Linked DNA regions of Callithrix jacchus. The protein of the gene in region 3 interacts with the protein of the main gene of each other region in a pairwise test. Links are inferred from orthologs where the notes say so. Each region holds a gene or a part of one and is shown on either strand. Other genes may lie near its edges. The genes, in order: LZTS2, AHCYL1 and GEM.

Region 1 (3,675 bases), on a different chromosome or scaffold from region 3:
GTGAGGGGTCAGCTTTGGTCCTCCAGCAGCTTATTCTCTGCAGTGGATGGATTTCAGAAGCCACAACTCACCGAGGTCTCCTGCAGCTCATATGGCCCAAGTACCTGTAGACCTACCCACATGCTGCCTTGAGTGACATGGTGGGAGGGAGCCCTTGGGGCCTCCTTGCAATACAGGCCAACTTCCTGTTTGTGCCTGTGGGTGGGACTTTATGAGTCTAAAAGAAGCCCAGCCATGCCCCCTGGGAGGTCAAAACCGGCAGGCCTGCTCACCTGGGCAGACACCTACTCCAGGGAGGGGGCTGTGCTGGTTCTGCTTGGGCGGCCCCAAGTGAGGTGTGTGCATGGTGGGGGTAGGTGGGAGCTGCTCTGGTGAAACTCAAGTCTTCTTTGTGTGCTTCCCAGGGGTTTTCCTTGTACTTGGGTATTGGGCCCAGAGTGGACTGGTTGGGCTCCCAACCGAGCAGGGGGGAGAGTGGCGGAGTCAGGCTCTATAGGCAGCTTAGTTAAGGCAGCCAGGTAGCAGAATTCTCGGTCACGTGATGATCGCCCCTTTTCCCCAGGTGGAAAACCAAGTCCGGTAAGCTGTGAAGTCAGAGGCCAGAGAGGCATCCTCCGCCACTGTCTAGCCACTGTTGGGCTGGGCACTGGGTCGGCTGTTGGTGGGGTGCGGGGCAGACCACTCCCCTCCCCGGGTGGGGGGCGCGGCCTGAGCCGCCCTGCCCCGCCCCGCTCTGCTCCACCAGGTCCTGCCAGGCGGGCGCCGGGAGCCGGGAGCCGGGAGCCCGGAGCCCGGAGCCCAGAGTTCGGAGCGAGCTAGGGAGCCGGCGTTGTCGCAGCGAGGAGGCGAGCGCGTTGGAGCAGGAGCGGCGCCGGAGCTGTAGCCGAGGCGCAGCTGGCGCTGGGTGAGTGGTGGGCGGCGGAGGTGCAGGAACTCCCGCCTCCTGCACATCCCCGCTCCAGAGCGAACTTTCCGCTTCTGGAGAAGCTGGGGGTGGGGATGAGGAGTGGGGTCGGGCGCAGGCGAAGAGTCAGAACAGGGAAGCGACACGGAAACGCATGCCAACGGGTCCCCACACACGCGTGCACAGACCCACGCCCGCACTTGGGACATGCGAATACACAAGCACTCGGAAAGGACGCGCCCAGTTGGCTACCCTTGCACTCCCAGGGACAGCGCCAGCCGGCGCGCGCGTACCCCCAGCGGCCAGGACACTCTGCGGTCGCGTATTGGGTGGGGGAAAGGGGCAGCCCCGTGCCCGCAATGGAGGCGGGCCGGGTGGGACGCACCCAGAGGTTCCTGCTTCCTGGCCGCCCGCAGGTGAAGACCAAGACGTAAACAGGCGTGGCGCACGTGATCGCTCCGCAGATCAGTGGCCAGTGCTCCCAACCCCACCACGGGGCGGGGACCCCAACCCCAGTCCCGGGCGCGTTTGCCTGGTCCCAGGCCGGACGGCGTTCCATTCTCCGCCTGGAGCCGGGATAAACCCTCTCCCAGGCACCGGAGCACAGCGCCCCCTGGAGCCGGGGCGGAGCAGGAGGGCCGGGCTGCTGGGCAGGGCCGGGGTAACTCGGGCTCCTGGACGTCCTTCTTCCCAGCACATTCTTGGTGTCTACATCCCGGAAAGTTTCGGAGACAGGCCCTTGATGACAGTGGACAGCTGCCCCCGCCTATTAACCCCAGCCCAGAGAGCAGCTGTCTGAGCGCCTGAGGGTCCCCTTCCTACCCTCACTTCCACTCTTTGTGGGATTCCGAGTCTCCTCCCCCGAGAAAATTCATGAGTGTAAACGCCCCCTCAATACTGGAGTGGGCCTACCCCCCTAGCAAAAGGAGGGCGAGCTCCTCCCCCCAGGGAATGAGGGAGTGGGCAGTAGCTTGATTCCTTTTCCCCGCCCCACCCCCCCACCCCTACACACACACGCTGAGCCCAGCTGCTGCCTGAGATGGGCAGGCTGCCAGAAAGAGGAGGAGGCTCTCTGTGCCCCAGGAGGCAGGGATCAGGGCAAGGCCAGAGGAGGGGGCTTTGCTGGGGAGAGGGGCTCAGTCTGTTCTTGTGAGGCTGAGGGTCTGGGGTGAGTCTGAGGGTGGCTGGGCTGTGTTTCCCTTTCCAGGGAAAAAGAAAGAAAAACAACCCTATCCATAGAGCTAAAAATAGAGCTGAGAGCGGGCCAGGGCTGTGGCCTGGAAGGGGGGGATGCTCCTTCCTGGGGCCCGGACGAGCTCTGGCAGGCCTTGGCCCTGGGGGGGAGGGAGTCCTTAGGGGAGAAAGGCTGTCTTTGCCCAGGGATGCAGGCATCAGCTGACCTGACCGGGTCACCGAGACCCTTAAGGGAAAGGCTGTGCTATAGGATATTTGTGAAGCACGGCGTGTGTGTAAGAAGTTGTCCGTGTGAGTGAATGTCAATAGAGGCTGTCAATGTGTGAAAGATGGCCAGGAGACTAAGTGCATTTGAGACTGTGACTGGGTGCGAAGGACTGCGAATTGTGGAAGCCTCTCCACAACAGGCCTGTGACACCGTGTCTGTGTGTGACATGGACTGGAAGATTATGGAAAGAAGGAACGCGGTCCCACGTGACAGCTGAGACTGCTTGTGGCTGCGTGGTGAGGCTGCCTATGGGAAAGGTCGTGTGGGTGTTAGGGACTGTGTTGTGCGCGAGAAGGTGAAAATGTCTGCGATCCTGAGAAAGTGGAATGTTGTTTGCCGTGAGGCTGGTGTAGGTTTGGGCTGTAGGCTGGAACCGGCTCGCCCAGTGATATTGGGGAGCCAGGACTGCCCCTCTCTGAGAAATGGCCTCTCTTTTTAAAAAGTGATCCCAAGGGGAGGCCGGCCTGGGTTCGCGGGGGAAAGGACACCGTGCCGGGGAGTGGGACAGGGCCAGTGTGGTGGGGGGAGGCTGAGTGTGTTCTTCGAGTCGGCCGCCAGGTGGCGCCGCCTCCGCGAAGCCCAGGTTGCCGCCTGCAACCCGCCGCGGGTGGGGCAGGCGCGGACCGAGCTTTGGCCACCGTCTCACGCTAGGGCGCGGGGCCCCCGGACCGGAGAGTGGGGGGCGGCCGGCCCTCGGCCTCCTGCTTGGGACCCTGAGGCTGAGAGCGTGTCAGGGAATTTTCGCCTGGAGAAGCCGAGGGGGAGGGGCGGCCGCCGCCGCCTCGCCGGGGCTCTTTGTGCTGTAACAATGACCAGCTGCCGCCGGCCCCCGGGCCCGGGCTGGGGCGGAGGGTGACCGCCGCCGCCGAGCCGAGCCAAGTCCCCGGACACGCAGTCACAGGGCGTCGGAAGGAGGGCTCCCGACTGCCGCCGAGCAGCCCCTACGTGCGCCCCGGCGGACTCGCGTGACGCGGGTGCCGGAGCGTGTCCGCGGCCCGGGGCGGGGACGGCCCTCGGACCCTCCCTTGCGCAGCGCCGCCCACTCGCACTGGGCGGGGGCTGGCCTGGGCCGGGGGGCGCCGCGGAGGCGGAGGCGGGGCCGGCCCGGGCCGCTCGGAGTGGCGGCGCGCGGGCCGGGATCGGGGCCGGAGCCGGGCGGCGCGCCTGTGGAGCGCTGGGGGCGGCCTGGGGCTGAGCATGGAGCAGCGCGGCGGAGGTGAGGGGGGGCCGGGGCTGGGAGGCGGCCTGGGGCGCCCCCAACTTCTGCGCGGTGGAGTCCAGCGGGGAGAGGGCATTGCCCAGCCGCCCC
Region 2 (3,747 bases), on a different chromosome or scaffold from region 3:
AGCCTGGGAGGCAGAAGTTGCAGTGAGCTAAGATCAAGCCACTGCACTCCAACCTGGGTGACAGTGAGACCCTGTCTCAAAAAAAAAGAAGACACTGAGATCACTTCAGAAACGGATACAGGTGCCGGGGGAGGCTGAAGCTTACATAACTTTGGGGGCATTCTTTAGAAATGAGATTTTAGAAGGAACTATGCAAATGAGGAGCCCTGAGGCTTAAGCAGCAAATCTGCTTTCTGAAAGAGGTTAGGAGTGAAAGTACCCAGGCTGGGTGCTTGGCACAGAGCAGGAAAACAAAACTTCAGGTATTACTGAAGAATACTGTATCCAGCCTCTACAAATTAGGTCCTCAACAAATCTCTATTAAATGCTGCTGACCTATAACTTGTCATACCTTAGAAAACAGGTTCTAGTGAAGTTTTGGTGTTCAACAAAGAATGATACACAGACTGCCAATAAGGTCTTATCATTTTAATTGATTTTAATGATTATTGCTAATCTGCAAGGATTAATATTGCATTCATTAAAAATCATTCAATACAAAATGAACTCGTTCCTCCCAAGTTGCTCTCCACATGCTCCCTCTGATGCCAGACTGTTTTTTTTTTTTTTTTTACAGTGTCCTTTGTTACATGGCTTGACAGAGACAGAGCCCTTACCTATTATTCCTATGGACACAGTAATAGACATGGGATCAGGGGACAGGCCAGAGGGCAGGTTAATGTGGGTGCCTTCCCTCCAGCAGGGCCAACGTGATGGATAGGTTGTTGGCCAGGTTGCCTCCCCTAACAGATGTGGTGTTCTGACTGGCTGGTTAAGTGCCCGAGGAAAAAGGGCCTCAACTGTTAACATCTACAGAGAAGAAAGCATGGTTATACACTGGCAAGGAATGAGAAGGGACTGGGTGGGGGAAAATGGGAGAGAAAAGGGAAAGAAGTTTTGGCAAGACAATTGTCCCCTGCTAAGAAGGTGCAGGGTGAAAGCTTTCCTTTCTTTTATTTTCGTTTTTATATGTCTGACTCTCTGATCAATGGAAAAGTGAAAATTTCTAGTATCTAGCACTAATGTATGACCCAACTTTGAAGGATCACAAGCTAGAACAGGTTGAGGATTTAAAATCCTGGATAATTGTATACTTAAAGCTCACGAGCATACAGCTCATTTGACCATGCAGAGATGCTGGGCAGCAGGGTGCATGGCATGGAAATACATCTCCCTGATCTTTGAGAGAGCCTCTCTGGAGATTCTTTCAGAGCATAAGCCAGGATGGACTGATGACTTTCTCCACACATCAATTGCCCTTTGAGATCTCAGTTCATAAACTTTTTGTGGTATGTAGCAATCAAAAGTCATTATTACTTCTGTAAAACCACCATTATATAGGCTGTATAGTCCCAGACAAATTATATGAAGCTAGATTTTTCTCACCCTGGCCCAATTTATCATTCCTCCTCCTGCCCACACCTACCCCCCCTTAAATATTTCAGGTTGCAGAAGCACAGCTGACCAGAAATTTGCTCTTAAAGATAAATGCTAAAGATAGAAGTCAGTGCTTTATACTGAGTAATGGCTCAAGAAATTCGCCTTCAGCACAGCTGTATGGGACAGAGCTGACAGAATTTGCTGTTATGGCTCCAGTTCACTGATGCTATAAACTATGGGTTAGAAACACAGGGCCATAACAGGGTTTGAGACTAGCATTTCTCTAGACTCAGCATCCTTAGCTCCAAGGGTTTAAAATTTAGAGAAATTGGTAACGACTAACCACTCAAGCAGTTCCTCAGCATTAACACTAAAAATTTTCCTTAATTTTTCTTTTTGGACAATAGAAATAAATCCTAGAGGACAAAATTCAATTCAACTCAATAGAGTACAGTCTAGTTAAAAACTAGAAAAATGAGAAAGTCTGGTGGGAGTAGAGGAAAGGTGTACTATACATCCAAGTGGGCTTCCTGGTCTTAACAAGCAATGCTCATTATACACATCTCTGAACCAGACATACCACCTTTACACAGGAAACAGGGCTTGGAACTTCTAAGGGAAATTAACATGCACCACCTACATCTAACCTACCTGCCTGGTAGATACCATCCCTACTTCTCTGAAGAAGTGAAAGAGCCCTGATTTCAGCAGCTAAGAAATGGGCTCTTTTAAGGCGATTTAGACATTGCAGATTGTTCCACAGAGAAGGTACCTTAGCATTTCCTGTTAATAAGGTACCTAATTAAGACTAAAGTCCCCAGAAATGGTAAAGAAAGAATCACCTTTCTGGGCTGGGAGAGTAAAATCCTTCTTTAGTGACTGGGATGAGGAACCCTGAACTTCCATTTCATCTAAAGAGCTATGAAGCAAGTTCCTTTGGGGTCTGCAGAACTTAGATAAGGAGATGAAAAAACAAGAATGAAATTACAGGAAAAACGATCAAGAGGAAAGGAGTAAGAAGAAAATAAAAGTTATCTTAAAAAATATTTCTTTTAGAGTGTGTGGTTCACGTGGACTGGTCCTTGGTAATATGGTCCATTAATATCTGTAAAGAGAGAGAGTGATTGGTTAACACTTACGTTTTCCATATGAGAGCTCCAAGACGACAATTGGAAACCGAGCACCTTCTCCAACGCCCCTCCCCAGCCGGTGTGGGATCCCTGCAGTCATTTCCCAGGACACCATTATTCCTTGTTCTTATACAGCGTCTCTGACAATGCCACTTCTGGTATTACCACCTGCTCCCAAGAGTCAGTGTTTTTCAACTCTGACTAAACATTATAATAATCTGGGGAGGTGTTACAAAATAACGTTTTGTAAATTTGGTCCCATCAGAATCTCTTGGGGTGAAGCCCAGGTTCCAAAATTTCAAAAAATCCCCTAACTCCCTTACATTCATCACAATCTCTGTCTACCTTGTTAACTAGAACAGTTGGGTTTTTTTTTTGAGACAGAGCCTCACTCTATCACCCAGGCTGGAGTGCAGTGGTGTGATCCTGGCTCACTCTGCCTCCCAGGTTCAAGCAATTCTCGTGCCACAGCCTCCTGAGTAGCTATGACTACAGGCGCATGCCCCTACACTCAGCTAAGAGATAGGGTTTTGCGACATTGGCCAGGCTGGTCTTGAACTCCTGACCTCAAGTGATCCATGCGCCTAGGCCTCTGAAAGTGCTGGGATTATAGGCGTGAGCCATCATACCTGGCCTGGAACAGATTTCTTGTACTCTTCAAAATCAGGTACAACATTTGATCTTTATGTCAGAAAGAGGCTAGCCTGCTTGGTTTAATACTGGGAAAAAGAGCTTTTCACTTGCTTCTCCTCAGGTTACCTGTAATAATTAGGTTTGAATGGCCCGTTTTTGTTGAGTCCCAGATACTTTGCTTGGTCATCTGTCAGCTCTGTAAGGTGGGCATCAAATGATGGCAGGTGCAAGCTGGCAACATATTCATCTAGGAAGAGCAAAGTGGCAGGAGAGCAGACTCCTTTTCAATATGCCTCTCAGGTTATAACTTCCCACTACTTTCATTTGAAGCTTTTTTAAGAAAGCAGACAAGGGGTGGAATAACTGAAAGAATTCACAACTTGAAATACTTGCTTAACCAAAAAAAAACCTCAAAGCTGCCTTTCTTGGCAGGGCGCTTCTCTCAGCACATCTCAAGTGTGTTCAGAAAACCACTTACCAGTAATAAAAGGGGGTGGCTTTTACCTCTCTACCGAACTCTGGCAAAGCTGGGGGCTTCCCTGCAGTGGCCAACATGTCACGTGCT
Region 3 (3,647 bases):
GCTCTCCTAGAGCCTGGTATTCATTTCGTTCCCTTCTTCTTACCTGGTTAGCACTTGACAAGGATAAAAGATGAGCTGGGCAACTTAGAGGAAGAGAAACCTAGAGCTGTGTTACTCCCAGGCTTGCACCTGGTTAGGGGGGATGCCATGTGTGCTGGAAGGGTCCTGGTGCACACAGCCAGAGGCCGTATCTAAACGCCTGTACTGGGGTGGGGAGTAAAGGGAGAGTACACATGCTGAGCAGGGAGGAGATGGATTGCTTTAACCTCCCAGGCCCTCCAACACAATGATTTTCAGGCAGAGGTAAGGTCAGACAGAGTGACTCTGTCAGGAAACTTCTAGAATGGCAAAGCATCTTGTTTCTATTTTTATGGCTGTGATCCTTAGTCCACTTTTTCTCTAGACTTGTTCTGATGTTTCTTAAGCCAGGAGAAAGTTGGGGTTTCTTTTTCCATCAGTGACTGGAACACAGTATGTTTCTATTTGAATGACTGGGCACTCAAGCAAGTACCCTGTACCTGAGTGGTGGGCTGAGGGCAGAGAAGGTTCCTCCATCATTGAAGGAGTTGTCTGAGTGCAGGGAGGGATTTTAGAGAAAAGCTAAGAACCCTGTGGTGGGAAGCGGGCAGTCAGCCCATCCCTGCTCTGTGCTGCCCAAGCGCTGATGGTCTCCATTGCATTGTCAAATTTGCATGTTGAGGTTGTGAGGCTCTACCCCGCCCCTGCCCCATAATCCGAATAGTCCCACTGTGATCTCATTCCTTCTGCGTATTGTGAGCAGGCACACACGATGGGCATGACAGTTTTAATCCCCCAGTGGCAAACACTGATGAGAAGAATGACACTGTGGGAGGAGGAGGAAACTCACAGAAAGACAGGGCCATCCCTGGTTAACTCTTCTTATTTGTCCAAGTTTTCCTTCTGTAAGGAACCTTTCCTGGTTCCAGTTCTTAGATGATGAAGCATGGATCCAGGAGCAGTGTTTTTCATAAACCCTTTGCTACTATAAAACAAGAAATGTCCTGGTTCCAATGTAGCTCTCTTAAGCTAGGATTTATCTGTAGTAAGGAAGTGCTGAGTATGGCAAGAACCAGCTTCCTTCACGTGAAGAAGGGATAATGACTAACATTGATTGAGTTTCTGCTTTGTGCCCAGGCTTAATATATGTAACTGTCACATAGCCCTAAGGTGTGAGTACTATTGTCAGTCTCATTGCACAGATGAAGAAAACTGAGGTTCAGAGAGCTTAAGTGGCCCAGACCCACAGAGTTCATAAGAGACAACACTTGGATTCGAATTCGGGTTTGCTCATGCTCACAGCCACAATGCTGTATTTATCATCCGCTCACTGTACACACTTTTATTGCACACCAGCAATGTACCAATGTGTGGAGGGACACAGTAAACAGCACAGATGCAAAGGTCTGCCCTAACATTATAAGGAGGGGCAGGAGGGACAGAAAATAATAAAATAAATAAGTTAAATGTGTTGTATGCTAGGTGGCAATAAGTGTGATGGGAAAGAATATTGTGGGAGAGAAGTGTTGCCATTTTAAATGGACGGCCAGGAAGCCCCTCCCCCAGAGGGAGGTAAGGGAATAGGCCTTGTGGATATTTGAGGGAGAAGATTCTAGACGAAAAGAACAAGTAGAAAAATGATAAATCATTATGAAAGTCATAATTTTCAAAAGATGAAATTCAAAACAGGAAACCTCATTGTGAAAATAGAGTGAGGATGGGCTCAATTGTATGGGGATGGTGGAAATCCCACTTGCAAAAATCCCACTGGACCCTTTCTACGCCTGCCTCACCATGGATTTTTCCAGGCTGGAATTGCTTTGGCCCATCGTACTGTTACTGTGCTCACCCTTCACCTACACATGATCTGGGCTCGAGTGCAGGGAGGAAAGTTTCCATTACCAAGTAGAGCTGGAGGCTGAATTTCTGTTATACTTAAGAGGGAAAAACAAGCCCATTTATTCCGAGGGAACAGGATTTTTTTTTTAAAGGAAGAAAACTACAGCCAAAACAGGGAGAGACTTAAGATTCTTTCCTGCCCTTGTCCAAAGAGGAGCAGTGTCTCTGAGCTCAAAGCTCCTGAAATTGCCAGTGAGTGTTAAGTAACTACCCACTGAAAGGTACAATGGACTTATGAAAACGGGCTTACAGTTTCACTGGGCAGTTAATGCTTTCTCATAGCATTAATCATTGAATCTGAGACAAAAGTCTTTAAGTTTATCCTCATAAATGATTTTCCCATGTGAAAGGTCCAGGAATGATGAAAACAAATGGCTTTTACTCCATGTGGTTTAGTGATGCATGTTTGAGAGATATGCTCTGCTGGAGGAATGTAGTAGAATGTTGTTGAAAGTGACAAAAATAGTAATTTGCCTTTGAAAATGTCTTTATATTTGCATAATTAATTGCATATTTAGAGAGTTTATGTTCTAGCGTAAGTTTCTACATGACCCTTTTATGGAAAAGTGTTGCATATTCACCTGACTTCAATATATATTTGTTCTTTTTTTTTCTAGAAGATACATATGAACGAACCCTGATGGTTGATGGGGAAAGTGCAACAATTATACTCCTGGATATGTGGGAAAATAAGGTATGCAGAGCCTGTAGCTCTCTAAATTCCTTCGGGGGTTTTCCTTCCAACAAGCTGTTTGGTGTGAGGGGGACCTTGTCCTGTATAGTGGGTATTGTAGATGAGGTGGGCTCATTTTCTTGATTAAAAGCATGCTTCTGAAGAATGAGACCATTCTGAGGAACAGGTCGTTCACAGATGAGTTCTGAATAACAAGCAAGTTGTAGTGACTTGCCTTTAGTTCTATTAAAAAACACACCAAAAACGTGTATTTGTTTTAGGGAAAACACAAACAGGCATGGACTGTTGCTTTAAATAACATAAATCCATCTCATCTGAAGTTGAGATTCTCAATACTAATTTGCAACATTGGCTTTTTAAAGATTTCGAAATGCCTCAGAACCTATGTGGTAGACTTCTGTTTATTGAAAATCCCTCCTAGTCCCCACAAAAGTGTTCTTAATCTCATCACTTGGAAAGGCAAAAGGGAGTTTTTGAGAAGTCAGCAAAGGCTCATTTATGGTAGATTAAGTAGAAATTGGAAATGCTGTTTGGCAGAGTAGTTGTGTAATTTATCAACTCAAGCTGCAGAAGACATTGAAAAGTAAAAACTTTTTGGCATAAATACTGGACAGGCTAGCCATCTTTCCAGCCACCAAACATCTTGTAGGCATGGAAGACCAATGCTTTTGGAGAGCTGGAAGCAATTTCTTCCTTTCTTCTATCAGCAAGGGTACTTTAGGATACATGTATTGTTTCTTTGGTAACTGACGCTTCATTCCCCACGTCAAATTGAACTCACAGAAGATCTTATTGTTTCATTAGGGGGAGAATGAATGGCTTCACGACCACTGCATGCAGGTCGGGGACGCATACCTGATTGTCTACTCAATCACGGACCGAGCGAGCTTCGAGAAGGCATCTGAGCTGCGAATCCAGCTCCGCAGGGCCCGGCAGACAGAGGACATTCCCATCATTTTGGTTGGCAACAAAAGTGACTTAGTCCGGTGCCGGGAAGTGTCTGTATCAGGTAAGAGGAGTAGAGCCAGTACCGTAG

The links.
Region 1: the proteins of GEM (region 3) and LZTS2 interact in binary tests that used the Homo sapiens proteins (3 or more experiments, as listed by UniProt). The two-hybrid records come from large-scale screens. The link is inferred for Callithrix jacchus from reciprocal best matches to the Homo sapiens genes GEM and LZTS2.
Region 2: the proteins of GEM (region 3) and AHCYL1 interact in binary tests that used the Homo sapiens proteins (3 or more experiments, as listed by UniProt). The two-hybrid records come from large-scale screens. The link is inferred for Callithrix jacchus from reciprocal best matches to the Homo sapiens genes GEM and AHCYL1.

What each region holds. Positions count from the first base shown.
Region 1 is NC_133513.1:93,953,149-93,956,823, forward strand, and holds the start of LZTS2 (leucine zipper putative tumor suppressor 2), read left to right. Parts: upstream 1-743; 5' UTR 744-904; intron 905-1,940; exon of another isoform or gene 1,941-2,072; intron 2,073-2,240; exon of another isoform or gene 2,241-2,602; intron 2,603-3,455; exon of another isoform or gene 3,456-3,582; intron 3,583-3,675. UniProt on the Homo sapiens protein: Negative regulator of katanin-mediated microtubule severing and release from the centrosome. Required for central spindle formation and the completion of cytokinesis.
Region 2 is NC_133508.1:147,870,940-147,874,686, reverse strand, and holds the end of AHCYL1 (S-adenosylhomocysteine hydrolase-like protein 1), read right to left. Parts: intron 3,430-3,747; coding exon 3,309-3,429; intron 2,525-3,308; coding exon 2,518-2,524; 3' UTR 454-2,517; downstream 1-453. UniProt on the Homo sapiens protein: Multifaceted cellular regulator which coordinates several essential cellular functions including regulation of epithelial HCO3(-) and fluid secretion, mRNA processing and DNA replication.
Region 3 is NC_133517.1:32,947,003-32,950,649, forward strand, and holds part of GEM (GTP-binding protein GEM), read left to right. Parts: intron 1-2,534; coding exon 2,535-2,611; intron 2,612-3,415; coding exon 3,416-3,620; intron 3,621-3,647. UniProt on the Homo sapiens protein: Could be a regulatory protein, possibly participating in receptor-mediated signal transduction at the plasma membrane. Has guanine nucleotide-binding activity but undetectable intrinsic GTPase activity.